Oryzias latipes: one gene and its partners. The protein of the gene in region 3 interacts with the protein of the main gene of each other region in a pairwise test. Links are inferred from orthologs where the notes say so. Each region holds a gene or a part of one and is shown on either strand. Other genes may lie near its edges. The genes, in order: rorb, cep70 and nrip1.

The links.
Region 1: the proteins of nrip1 (region 3) and rorb interact in a two-hybrid assay, tested with the Homo sapiens proteins (2 studies listed by BioGRID). The link is inferred for Oryzias latipes from reciprocal best matches to the Homo sapiens genes NRIP1 and RORB.
Region 2: the proteins of nrip1 (region 3) and cep70 interact in binary tests that used the Homo sapiens proteins (3 or more experiments, as listed by UniProt). The link is inferred for Oryzias latipes from reciprocal best matches to the Homo sapiens genes NRIP1 and CEP70.

What each region holds. Positions count from the first base shown.
Region 1 is NC_019867.2:18,578,632-18,582,822, reverse strand, and holds the start of rorb (nuclear receptor ROR-beta), read right to left. Parts: upstream 2,801-4,191; 5' UTR 2,629-2,800; coding exon 2,610-2,628; intron 2,058-2,609; coding exon 1,972-2,057; intron 1,880-1,971; coding exon 1,738-1,879; intron 1,558-1,737; coding exon 1,126-1,557; intron 727-1,125; coding exon 605-726; intron 379-604; coding exon 246-378; intron 103-245; coding exon 1-102. UniProt on the Homo sapiens protein: Nuclear receptor that binds DNA as a monomer to ROR response elements (RORE) containing a single core motif half-site 5'-AGGTCA-3' preceded by a short A-T-rich sequence.
Region 2 is NC_019860.2:1,160,721-1,164,689, forward strand, and holds the start of cep70 (centrosomal protein of 70 kDa), read right to left. Parts: upstream 2,801-3,969; 5' UTR 2,549-2,800; coding exon of another isoform or gene 2,540-2,548; 5' UTR 2,410-2,539; coding exon 2,350-2,409; intron 2,267-2,349; coding exon 2,167-2,266; intron 1,987-2,166; coding exon 1,863-1,986; intron 705-1,862; coding exon 524-704; intron 1-523. Other genes in the region: double-stranded RNA-specific editase 1, read right to left, coding at 3,159-3,338.
Region 3 is NC_019872.2:2,611,418-2,615,536, reverse strand, and holds the start of nrip1 (nuclear receptor-interacting protein 1), read right to left. Parts: upstream 2,801-4,119; 5' UTR 2,555-2,800; intron 2,410-2,554; exon of another isoform or gene 2,303-2,409; intron 1-2,302. UniProt on the Homo sapiens protein: Modulates transcriptional activation by steroid receptors such as NR3C1, NR3C2 and ESR1. Also modulates transcriptional repression by nuclear hormone receptors.

The DNA of each region.
Region 1 (4,191 bases), on a different chromosome or scaffold from region 3:
ATTTGAACATCTGCATGCCACCGTACTTTCCCTCAAAGAGCACAGTGTTGTTGAGAGGGTTAAAGGCTCTGCACATCCTGACCAAGACTACCTCCAAACAACCTGAATGAACAAAGTAAAAGAAAATATTTATGAAGCTGATATTTAATGTAAAGAGTTGAAAACCACAGTTTTATTTTTTTTACACTAAACTAAATAGAATCAAAAATACTATTATCTATTGGATGCATTTCCACTTATCATACCTGACTTGAGAAGTAGGATTTGGTCATTCTGGCACAGTTCCATGAAGCCTGAGATGCGCTTGGCAAACTCCACTACATACTGGATTGCATGGGTAATCTGGATGGCACACTGCTGCCACAGCACGTCCCGGGGCTGGAACCAATCATACCCAATTATTTCATGTATGCCATATATTTAGATGAAGGAATTATACAACCTAAACAAAAAATGGCATATTTGCTGAGACTAATGTAGCTGTGAAATCGCTTTGAATTCTATGCCTAATTCAAAGTTCTGCAAATGTTTTTTGTTCTATCATATACAGTGTTTAAACGGTGTTTTTTTTGTGTACATAATGGCAATGACATTAAATCCTTACCTTGCTCTGGTACATTTTGATCTCTTCATAGGAATGTGTCTGCCAAGCGAGCTGCTGTAGCTCTTCTGTTGTGTATTGACAAGTCTCCAAATGAGACTTGATAATATTTTGAGCAATACGATCTGAAAGAGAGAAACACTCATGTATTCTCGATTTTCATCCTATATTTGATAACTAAGAATCGTATCAAATTAAAGAGTCATGTGTTTCAATCACTGCAGAGTTGTGTGCTCTTCTGCTACTGACAGTATTCTTGTTACTGAATGTAAAGTTTGTCCTTTTCATTAAATCTATATCCTTCCCCTGAAGCGTCACCACAGTCATGACACATTGTTAGTAAGCCATGTAAACCTGTCTGATCTCCTGTTGTACTCTGAGTTTAGAATTATGTCTCAGGTTCTCCTCTAGAACTATTTCAAGCACATCTTATTTATGTTCCTTATGCAATTTCTATGCAGACTTCAGATGACTGTCATGTCATAATGTCTGTTTTGCCTGTAGAGCAAAATGTCTGAAATTACCGAGCTCTCCCATGCTGACATTGTTGGGCCCGAGATGACTTTCCTGGTAGCCTCCATAGCTGAAGAGGTTGGGTACGGGAGTAAGGTCGTAAACCGGCTCCTGCTTAATGTGCTTCATGCCTGACATGTCCAAACCCGACTGATCTGGAGACGGTTGGGTTGAATCTATCCCGTAGTAGCCCCCCGGAATTCCACCTCCGTTACTATGGCCGCCTTTGGGTAGGTCTATGACATGACCATTGGCATATGTCCCTCCGATTTCATGATTGAGAGTGGATAGTCCGTTGGTTAGGCTGGTGGAATAAACACGAGCCAGTGCTTCAGCTTCACCAGTCTGCTGCTGCCGCTGCTCCTGCAGCCGTGCCTGGTGCTTCTGCACCTCTGCATACAGGCTGTCACGTTGCTTCTTTGACATGCGGCCAAACTTAACAGCTGTATTTGGGCAAAACAAAGATGCAGAGGGAAAGATGTTAGTGATGGCTTTGAAAAGTACATTTTGTGTGTAAAGTTTTTTTTTTTTGCAGAGCTATTAAAGTAGAACATAGGTTCAAAATATACAAGAGCAGTATTCATTGTTGTGTATTCAGCACCAAGATTTCAACTAGGCCTCACCATCTCTGGACATTCCAAGTGCAAGACATTTCTGCAGGCGGCAGTGTTGGCAGCGGTTGCGGTTTGTTCTGTCAATGAGGCAGTTCCTCTGGCGGGGGCAGGAATATGAGGCATTGTTCTGCTGGCTCCGTCTGAAGAAACCCTGGTTGCAGGTCAACAAAGAGTACCGGTCTCAACTTCAGCTTTCTTAAAATGTAACATGTATATTTTTTGACAATGGAATTTAGGCCTTACCTTACATCCCTCACACGTAATGACTCCGTAATGGATTCCGGATGATTTGTCTCCACAGATTTTGCATGGTATAACTTCGATTTGGGCTGGAAAAAACAAGCAAGATGGGAGAAAAGATATGGGTCACAAATTTTGTTTCAAATCCAGAGTAAACGTTCATTTGCCCCTTAGCTCCTCAGAGTAACACCTTACTCATTCACTAACCACAGCAGGTGGTTTAATTTGAAGATACAGTACAGGATGGACTGAAGTACCTGACTATGCTCACAGTGTGCCCAAGCATAGTATTTTGGACCACAAATTCACAAGGGCACAGTGACATGTGAACATTCATTATATCTTTGAGTTTTTTTTACTGACTGGTGCACTCAGGACTGCATATGTGCACATCAGTCACAAATAAATCACTAGATTTTGTGCATTATCTTTTGTGTTGAATTTGACGCAGAAGACCCCTCCAGGTAAAAAAAAGTTGTCTATAATGGGAAACAGGTTACATCACAGAAGGACAATACTTTCTCTTCATACCCCTTTTTACTGCACTTATATACCCTGGTTCAGGCCAGCTGCTCTTGGTATTTAACATACTCTAATTGACATACACTAATTTTCTATCTCTATCTTTCTATCTTACTCACTGTGTATAGGAAGCTCCATGTACAAGTCACAAGCAAAGGCACAACATGGAAATCATTTCAGCACACAAGGATGTGGCTTTGAAAATGTGTTCCATTGTAGGAAGAGAAATCGGCAGTTCCAGCTAAGATATGGATGTACATGTATGTAGAGGTAGGCAGGTATGCTGCTGAGATGGCACAGGCTCTATAAAGAGATTAGACAGCCGATCTAATCCTAAAATATTTCCCGACGTGCTTGTTCTATCCTCTGCTGAGCAGTGTCTTAGTCCCATCTGAAACAGCCATTCATATAATCTCTTGCAGAGTTCCACCTGTGGGATAAATCTGCAAGAATTTATACATTTTCTGTGAATTTTAAAACAAATTGTCCCTGTTTACAATTGTATACGTTTGGATTAACTGATCTCACTTAAGCATGTTAAGACAACATTTCTAACACTTATTTTCATGTACAAATCATGGTTAACTGCATGTAAATCCAGAAATGTAGTTTCACATTTTTCAACTCAAAGTTTATAAACTTTATTTTCTTTTAAGGGGATTGTAATTTAAGTGTGTGTGTGTGTGTGTGTGTGTATGTCCATGTAAAAAGGCCTGGTGGAATGAGTGTGCAATATTCATAATTGGATAATCTCTTATGAGGATCAATGAAAGTAGTCATGTCTGTATAGCAACTGGCCAGGTAGACATGATTATAGTGAACTACAAAAATCTAACTGCACCTTAGAGACACTTGTAAATGTGTGTTAAACATGTAAATCATTAATGCAAAATACAAGAACAGTTTCTTTGTTTTTGTACTTTCACTAAAGTTGAACAATGGCTGCATATTCATAGATTTACCCTAGATTTACCTAAACAAATCCCTTTTAGTTTGCCAGTGTAACAGTGTACATTTCTGACTCCTTTTAATTAGCCGTACTGCAATAACATGCAGCCCAAGGGATGTAGTCCCCTCATATAGCTCCATTGTTATCTCCTTAAACTTTTTTTCCTTTGTCAGATTAGAAACAAAATAGGATTGTTGTATTAATGCCAATAATATACAACTTTAGTTTTTTTTATTTCTCATTTTGTTGTCAAAGTGCAGCACTGAAAGCTGTACTCGGCTGTTTAAACACAAATCATGGGCAAAACAATGACAATGATGTCCCTATGTGTAATACAATTGTTGATATGTCTGAGACACGTTATTTTTTAGTAAAATTGCTTACAAATGGTCCTGGGACATTTTCCTGCTCTTTACAGTATGCCAAACACACATAAAGAAAACCTGACTTGGACAGTAATTCCCTAACATGTGGAATGCAAGTCAAGCAATCATGCTATAGCCAAAACTCTCCAAATAGCAGAGACCTGCTTTCCTCTTAGAACCAGAAATATGGGACAGAATGGAACACTTCTGACTTTGGTTCAAGAGACTGTTGCCTGGTACTAGCGCTGTCCAAGATATGACCCATTTTCACCCGTTAACGGCCAACTGGCTCCAAACTGGGTCAGTGTAGAGCAGTGGACTGGGACTACGTAAGGACTCTATACACAAAGCTGTCAATGAATGTGGCCTGTAACATACTATTAATAG
Region 2 (3,969 bases), on a different chromosome or scaffold from region 3:
CTCCCTATACGACTACAACTGAAGGTTTGTTGACCTTTGACCCGAGGAAGAGACCACCATCTTGAATGTTTCGTAAAAATCATCTTTAGGAGCAGCTACACATTTAAACTCCTAGAAAAGAAAAAAACCTTTAAACTAGAAGTTTTTGATTTAAGCATGGATCAGCTATATGAATATATTAAGAATGTGGGCGTGGTTTAAAAAACAAAATCGATCGAAATACTAAATGGTTGCTATGGAGATAAAACAAACCAAAAAGCACCATTGTGAAAAATGTTTTTTTAAGGAAAGTGTCACATCTCATGACGTCGCAGCTCTGATCAGGGTATCAGGGGCAGAGGGGCATGTAGAAGTTGATTTGTCTCTTATTTTGAAATCTGTTTGAGGGACAGCAGTACTGGGAGAGTAGCTGCATTTCAAAATAAAAGGTTTCATTGAATTTTGTTTTTTTTATGCTGAATTTCTACGGTTTTTGATGAAAACTGGGAAGTCAGATGAATGAAGGCAAAGATCAGGGACTGACTATGGCCTCTGCGCTGTGGCGCTGCAGCTGCAGCGTGCGGCTGTGCGTCTGCGCAGCCCTGCAGATGCAGCGGTCCTCCAGGTCCTGGACCTTCACCTTCACCTGGTCCAGCAGCGCCTGCAGCTCCGAGGCCCTCTGGGAGTGCTGGGCGGCGCGACTCATCTGCTCCTGGACCTCCTCCCTGGAGAAAAAAAATAAAGAAATAAAAATAAAAAAAGACCAACAGGAGAAAAGCCTCTGTTTTCCTGACTCCGCCCCCTTTTTTAAGGCTTCATTCCTGCTGGACAGAACTAAAACTGACATTCAAAATACTAAAATGATTATTTACAGATTGATTGATGATTCTGATCATTTTAGTGTCAAACTATGAATAAAAGGTAAATAAAAGTAGTAAAAAATATATTTTAATATCAATTTTAAACTACAAGTTAAAACTGGTGGTAAATAAATGTATATATATATATATATATATAATTTAAGAAATCCATTGAAATTTATAAATACATAAATACAATAAAATATTTCAAAATAAGAGCATGGATTTATCAAACAAGAAATTACCAATAAAATACTAAATGACAAAAAAAAAAAAAGTATTAACATGCCGAGTATTTTTTCATTTTAGTTACATTTGACAAGCAAACAAAAAACAAGTAAAACCTAAAAGTAAGGATGCCTGATTTCATTTTTTTAAAACCATTTGTTATTTCAATTTGAACTTTATTCAGTTTGAAATCCTTCTATAATAGTTTTTCATTTCCCATCATTAAAACTGTATTTGTTTTTTTTTAACCTTTTTAGACTTTTGTAGAATAAATAAAGTTTTTCGGTATTTCATGCAAAAATACATCATTTTTAAAGAAATGTAAATATTCTTTAAACCAATTTAAATGTTTTTGAGTTTATATGAAAGTTGATGGGTTTAGTTTTATAAGGAACTTTTACATAAAACCAGGATAAACAAAAGTCTAACAGGAAGTGCGGATGTTTGATCAGAAGTTGACAAAAGTTGGTTCTGCCGTCTGTCAGTCAGAGCTCACGGTTCCTGACAGGAGATCCTGATCCTGGATCTCACAGAGACATTGTCCCTGAGGGAGCCGTCCTCCCCTCAGCTGATGTTCGCCAGTCGTTTACCAAAATAAAAGCCTCTGTGTGATCGGATGGGATCAGAGATGCGGTTGCCACGGTTACGCTTGGACAGCAGACGGGGGATTGGATAACAGGACAGGTGGTCTGCAGACGACCAGACCTCACTGATGACCACAGAGAAACCTGAACCCCCACAATGCTGCAAAGGGGGGGGGGGGGGTCATCAGTCAGAGCTGGGGGCGCCACTCACCGGAGCCGGTTGTTGGACCCGACCAGCTCCTGCAGGAGAGCCTGCCTCCTGTCCGAGTCCGCCAGCAGCGTCTCCAGAGTCCGCCTGAGCGCCGCTGCGGACTTCCTGTCCAGCAGGCCCAGTTCTGGAAGCACAGAGGAGCAGGCAGGAACCAGATCATCAATTTAGAACCAAAAATGGATTCTAGTTTCTGTTTAGTCCCAATAATGCCGCATTTGCTGGGTTTTTAACCAAATAAAGGCAGCTTTGGACCATTTGGGTTGAATTTCCTGCTGGGCGGTGACGTCATCACCTGAGCTCTCACCTGCAGGGTTCTTGTTCTCCACGGGGTCCGCAAAGAGCACCGGCCGGAAGCCCCGCTGCTGCAGCAGCCGGTTCAGCGGCTCCCACTCCGCCTGCTGCTCCTGCGACACACACACAAACACACAACCCGGGTCAGACCGCCCGGGTCAAAGCGGGACCCACCTGGTTCCCACCGCGGCGCTACCTGGAACTGCCTGCAGGTCCACAGGTAGACAAACGTCCCATTTCCCCCCGGGGGCCGCATGTCCGCTCTGAACCCCAACAACCTCCACTCAACTGAAAACGCTCGTGCTCTGGCGCGCGCGCGCGTCTGAAAACTGAGCCCCCCTCCCTCCTCAGTTTTCAGTTACCAAGCGGAGTGTCACGTGACTCACCTGCAACATCCCGTCAGTCCCCTGGAACAGAACCGCTTTCCTGAATGAGAACCGTGGAAATGCCGGTGGAAAAGGTTCGGTTGGACTCTCGGCACCGTTTCGAACTCTCCGAATAAAGGAACCGAACCAGTCCGGACTCCGTAGAAACCTCTGAAAAGCACTTCAACAGGATAAAAACAACAAAAATCCTCTTTAAAACCCGCCACGAACACAACTGACTGTTTGGGGCTCAGATTCAAACCGTACGTGATGACGTCACTAAAATAAGCCAATGACAGACAAGATTTTTTTTAATGCAACTTTATTGAACAATTTGTTTCGCTCACTCACGTTTTTTTCCTCTTCATTTATTTATAACATTTCAACATCTGAGCGTCAAAGCTTAACAGAACATAAAAAAGATCAAACATTTAATTCTTTTTTCCTCCTAATAAACAAATGGTCTGAATGATTTCCATGTACGAGGGCTCCCCTCCTGCAGGTGGCGCTGTTGCGTCAGCCAGAAGACTTTGCACATGTCAGTCAGAAACAAGGTAAAACTGAGGATATCCATTTTTGGACTGCTGGGTCTGCTGCCAGTCCCGTCTCCATGGCAACCAGGAAGCTCATCTGAAAGGAGTCAGGAGCTGCTCAGGGAGAACCGGTCCTGCTCTGCGGGCTTCTTGACCCAGATGCCCAGTCCAGCGTCAGCCAAAGCTCTGTAGAGCGTGTGCTTGGCGGAGCAGTACTCCTCGGCCGCCCGCTTAGCCTGGTGGTAGCTGCTGGGCGGCGGGGCTGAGACCCGCAGGAAGGAGGACAGCTACACGGACAAGAAGACGGAGAAAAACTCTCACTTCTGCTGTCAGACCAAAGAGGATCCTCCTCATATTTAAGGCTTCACACATCTATAGCTTAAAAAAGGAGTTTGAGGCCTCAAACAAAGATTTAGAAAGTAAAGTGTGTATTTCTGTCTGGGATGAGGTTGTGGAAAAGCATCAAAATCATTAAAAATGCTTTTTTTTTCTCTCAAACTGAAATGTTCATGACATCACCAACATCTAGTTCATTTGAGCGTTTTATACGACTTTATATAACCACTGAAAACGTTAATGGTTTATTAAAAAAATACATTTATTTCCCCCTCAACAAAAATTGTTAAGAAGAAATTGCATTGTGGACTATATTATACTTATACTGGTGAGCATCAATGGACAGTGGTTGTTTGCAGTGACTTCTGGGAAATTTTCAGGACTCTCGATTTTGAAATTGTAGATTCGGACAGCTGTACAGAATGCTGCTTGAGCTACATAGTGCATCATTTAGATGTAGCCTAGTATTTGTTTTTTTTAGCTACTTAGTTTGATAGCAAATACAATTATTAACTACTAAGCTAATAAGGAAATATTTATTTGGGTTATTAGCAAATTAGCAAATACTATTTTTTGTTTTTT
Region 3 (4,119 bases):
GGGCCAGACTCAGACGGACGGATGGAAAACCCAAGAACCGTAGAGGGTCTATCATCAATATTGTGCTTTGGAAAATTCTAATCAATTCAGAAAAGTCCAAATCTAAATTGCCCCTATTCTGAGGACGAGTCACTCTGTTTTCACTTGGCTGACAGTTTCAAACTATTGATGTCAGAAAGTGAGCTGGTGGTAAAGCTGCACCTTAGACTTATTAGGATGCAGAGTAAGTCCATGTAAAAAATGGGCAGCAGTGGATGCAGTTTGTTCTTTTCACAGACAGAAACAAAGGTGTGCAGGTTAGCTTCTCTCACACCACCTCCTGCAGGACAGCTCCATGAGGAACACTGGGTGTGAAGTTGGGTCTGTCCCAAAGCTGCTTCTGAAATCAGGGGTGGGCTTTTGTAACCTGATGACACTGCTATCCTGTCCAGGGGTCTCCGCCTTCAGCTCGCTTCATTTTCAGTCTACATTTACTTTAGATTCCAGATAAACACACCCCAGTGAAACAGGAGTCACGCTGAAACGGTTTCCCCTAAAACTGCAGAACAATTCAGAGTCTCTCTGAGAGTCCCATAAGGGAAACCAGACACTTTCTGTTTGTTTTTAGGGAACGACAAATTCTACATTACACTTGAGCACAAACCCCTGTTTTCTCTAAAAACCTTCCATTAGCATCAAATTCTTTTTGGAATCAATTATTTTGCATTCAGATGCTTTTGGATCCAAATGAGAATTTGGCACAAAGTCTTCACCGAACTGGGAAATGAGCAAAAAGAATGACGGGATAGAAGTTTGCTTTGAAACAGTCACACCTGAGTGACGGATGCCGATGGCAGCAGAGACTGGTCCTACATGTCAGCATGCTTCGTGGAGCAGCATGGTAACTGCATCCCATCAGTTCTCCGTCCTGCTGAGCACACTAACTATAATGTAATAACTTTCCACTGGAAGTCTGATCCTCGTCGTCTCCTGCCAAAGTGCCCTTGAACAATGTTCGGTGGCAAACAGCTCCTGCGCTGGGCATCTCCCAGCTCTGTCATAAATCAAGAACTCTGCAGCAGATGCATGGCTCTTGCTCTCTGCTAGATTGTACCGTCACTTCCCTCCTTCTTCAGCGTCTCCACAGTCAAGACCCGACAGCCGCCGCCTCCCGCGGCCCGTTTCTCTGCAGTGAACCGGTTTTCAAGAGTTCCCTCTGTTGGTCCGGAGCAGAGATGAAAGCACTGACCCTCTCCTCTTCTGAGGCCATGGAAAACATTTTTATGACACCTGTGAACACGCAGCGGCGCGTCCCAGCACGCCACCTGCATGCGGCCGCAGTGGCGCTGCTCTTGTTTTGTTGGCAGATAAGCTTTGCTGTGATGAAAAGCAGCCGGTGGACGGAGCGCAGAGTGCAGAGTCCAGTCTTGTGACTGCTCAGAGGCTGTCCCATCATTTGCATTTGGCCGTTCGAAAGTTCCAGGCGAGGACACAACGGTCAACCGCAAATGTCTGTCAAAGCAACTGAGGGACACAGAGGTTGTGTGAGACAATCTCTCAGGTGGAACCGCCCAGTGCTATTCAAACTGTGGAAACGAGCGGAGCCCCGTGTGGAGCATCCTGAGTGGGTGAGTTCAGGTCAATCCAGTGGCTGAAACTGGGAAAAAAGAGGCGAAGGGCCAAACCTCCGGACGCAGACGCTCCTCAGAGGCCTCCATGTTTGACCCTTCCTGCAGCGGCTCTGTCACGCTATCACAACATCAGGATGTTACAAGCCTGAACTCTGCCCCCACCCCGGAAAAATCACCCACAACTTTACCTTTGTGCCCCCACGCTGATGCAAAGTCCAACAACACATGAGAACCACACAACCGATCAGCTGGAGTCCCACTGAGCATCCCATATAGTCCTGCCTGTTCCCACGCGTGAACAACACTGGAGGGGGGGGGGGCAGGTGTAAAGAGTGGTCACTGAAGAGGATCCTGAGATGATCCGTGATAAACCTGGACGACTGGACTGCAGACCTCTCTACAGCGTCTGTGTGTGAGCAAGCTGTGGGTCAGACCGGAACCACCGCGCATCCAGACCCCCCCCCCCCCACACACACACACACACACACACACACACAAAACCGCGCGCGCACGCTCCGAACCGTTCCCTCAAACTGTCATCAAAGCTGGAGCAGCTGAGGGAGGGGGGATCGCGCTCCGCAGATCCCTGCGCTCATCACGCTCCTCCGACTGTCCTACGGCGCGCGCGCCTGCATTACCCACGCAGAGAGCACGCACGCACGCCACATCGCACGGCTACATGCGGAACTTACGTGAGATAGGCCGTGGCCTGGAAACACGCGCTCCGTGGGCGGTAATGAAGGAGAACGGTGAGGCGGAGCGGAAGCAGGTTTATTCCCGCGACATCCCTCTGCGCGCGGCCCGCTGCCTGCTTCACCGACCGCCGTTCCACCCACCCGCCATACGGGCAGCGGTGACACAGCCCCCCAACCCCCACACCGACATGACATGACAGCACCCAGACTTCCCCGTTATAGCACCCAGACCCCCCCCCCCCCCCTTACCTGCGCGCTCCGCCGGAGAGGCGCATCGCTGTTCGGCTGACGGCGGAGAGAGAGCCGGCCGCGGCAGCTCCGACAGCGGGGGCAGCTCCAACAGCACGGGGTGGGGGGCTCTAGAGGAGTAAAAATTACAGCCTTAGTCCGAATATCGACTCGAATGTTCAGTTTCCGCGCAAGCTCAGGTGGGGAGCGCGCGCTGCGAGCGGATTGTTTATTCTCCTCTGTGGAGAAGTGAGAGACTGCCTCACTCCTCCTCCTCTGACACCTCCTCCCCCCGCCCCGCTCTGACACCACCCTTAAAGGAACAAGCCCCACAGCTGCGGCCCACGCACGCGCAGAGTGGAGAAAAGAAATGGTTCAGTTCTGTGCGCGTGGCCAAGCGCGCGCTTTTATCAAATATGAATCACGCGGAGACAGTGGTGCTCGTTCCCGCGAGCCAAAATATCACTTTCAGGGGAACATTAATAAAAGATGATCACGCGCGTTTGGGCATTTTTCTTTAATTTGATTTAAATGTGTAAATTATAATAATTATTTTTTTTAGTCCAGGATGATCCCCACCTTAGGCTGGCAGTAGCTGGGCAGATTCCAACGACCCCATGACCTCAATGTGAATCAAAAAGATCATATGATTGGATAAATTATCTTATTGGAGGTTTTTCTGACTTATTTCTTGTTTCTCCATAAGATAATTTAGGAGGACATCATCTCTTTATAATTGTGATGTTTATTTTATGACGGGGGAACTTTGGGTCACAATCTGGATCTTGGTTCCTTAACATGATCCTAATTTCACTCTTTTAAAGAGACACATGTATGTAGGCTTCAGTTGTAATTTATTTATTAGTTGTTTAGTTTGTAACTGTGTCAGATGTTCTAATGAAACATTAATGGGATGCTGTGAATAACATCATTCTGGAAGCTGCCTTTGCAGCCTTTGCTCCGCGGCTGCTTTGCAGGGATGGACTGAGTCTTGTATTGGACAGGTGTTCATTTGCTTTTTTCTTTTTTCTTTTGTGAAAGCCAAAGAAAACCTTGATGTATGTAGATGGAGAGGGACACTTTGATGACCTGCAACAAATACTAACTCATGCCCCCTCAAAGTTGTATTTACTACAATCAGAATGGCATTCGTTGAAAAGTCTAAGATGATGCAAAAGGGAGGCGGTAACTATTTCACTTCTAGACTGGTTTCAAGAAACTAACTGGAGTCAGACTGTAGGTAACCCTAGGATGCTTGATGTACAGTCAAATCTCTATACATTTCAATGTAAAGGTAATGTCAGGTCATTTCCCCTAAGTGGGAGCAATACAATTTTATTCTATTCTATTCAAATCTGCTATCCTACTGTGAAGGCCATCCATCCATTCATTTATCCACTCATATATCTATCAATGCATCCATTCATTTGTCCATTCATCCATTCATTTATCCAGTCATCCATTCATTTATCCAGTCATATATCTATCCATGCATCCATTCATTTATCCATTCATCCATTCATTTATCCAGTCATATATATATACATGCATCCATTCATTTACCCATCCATGCATCCATTCATATA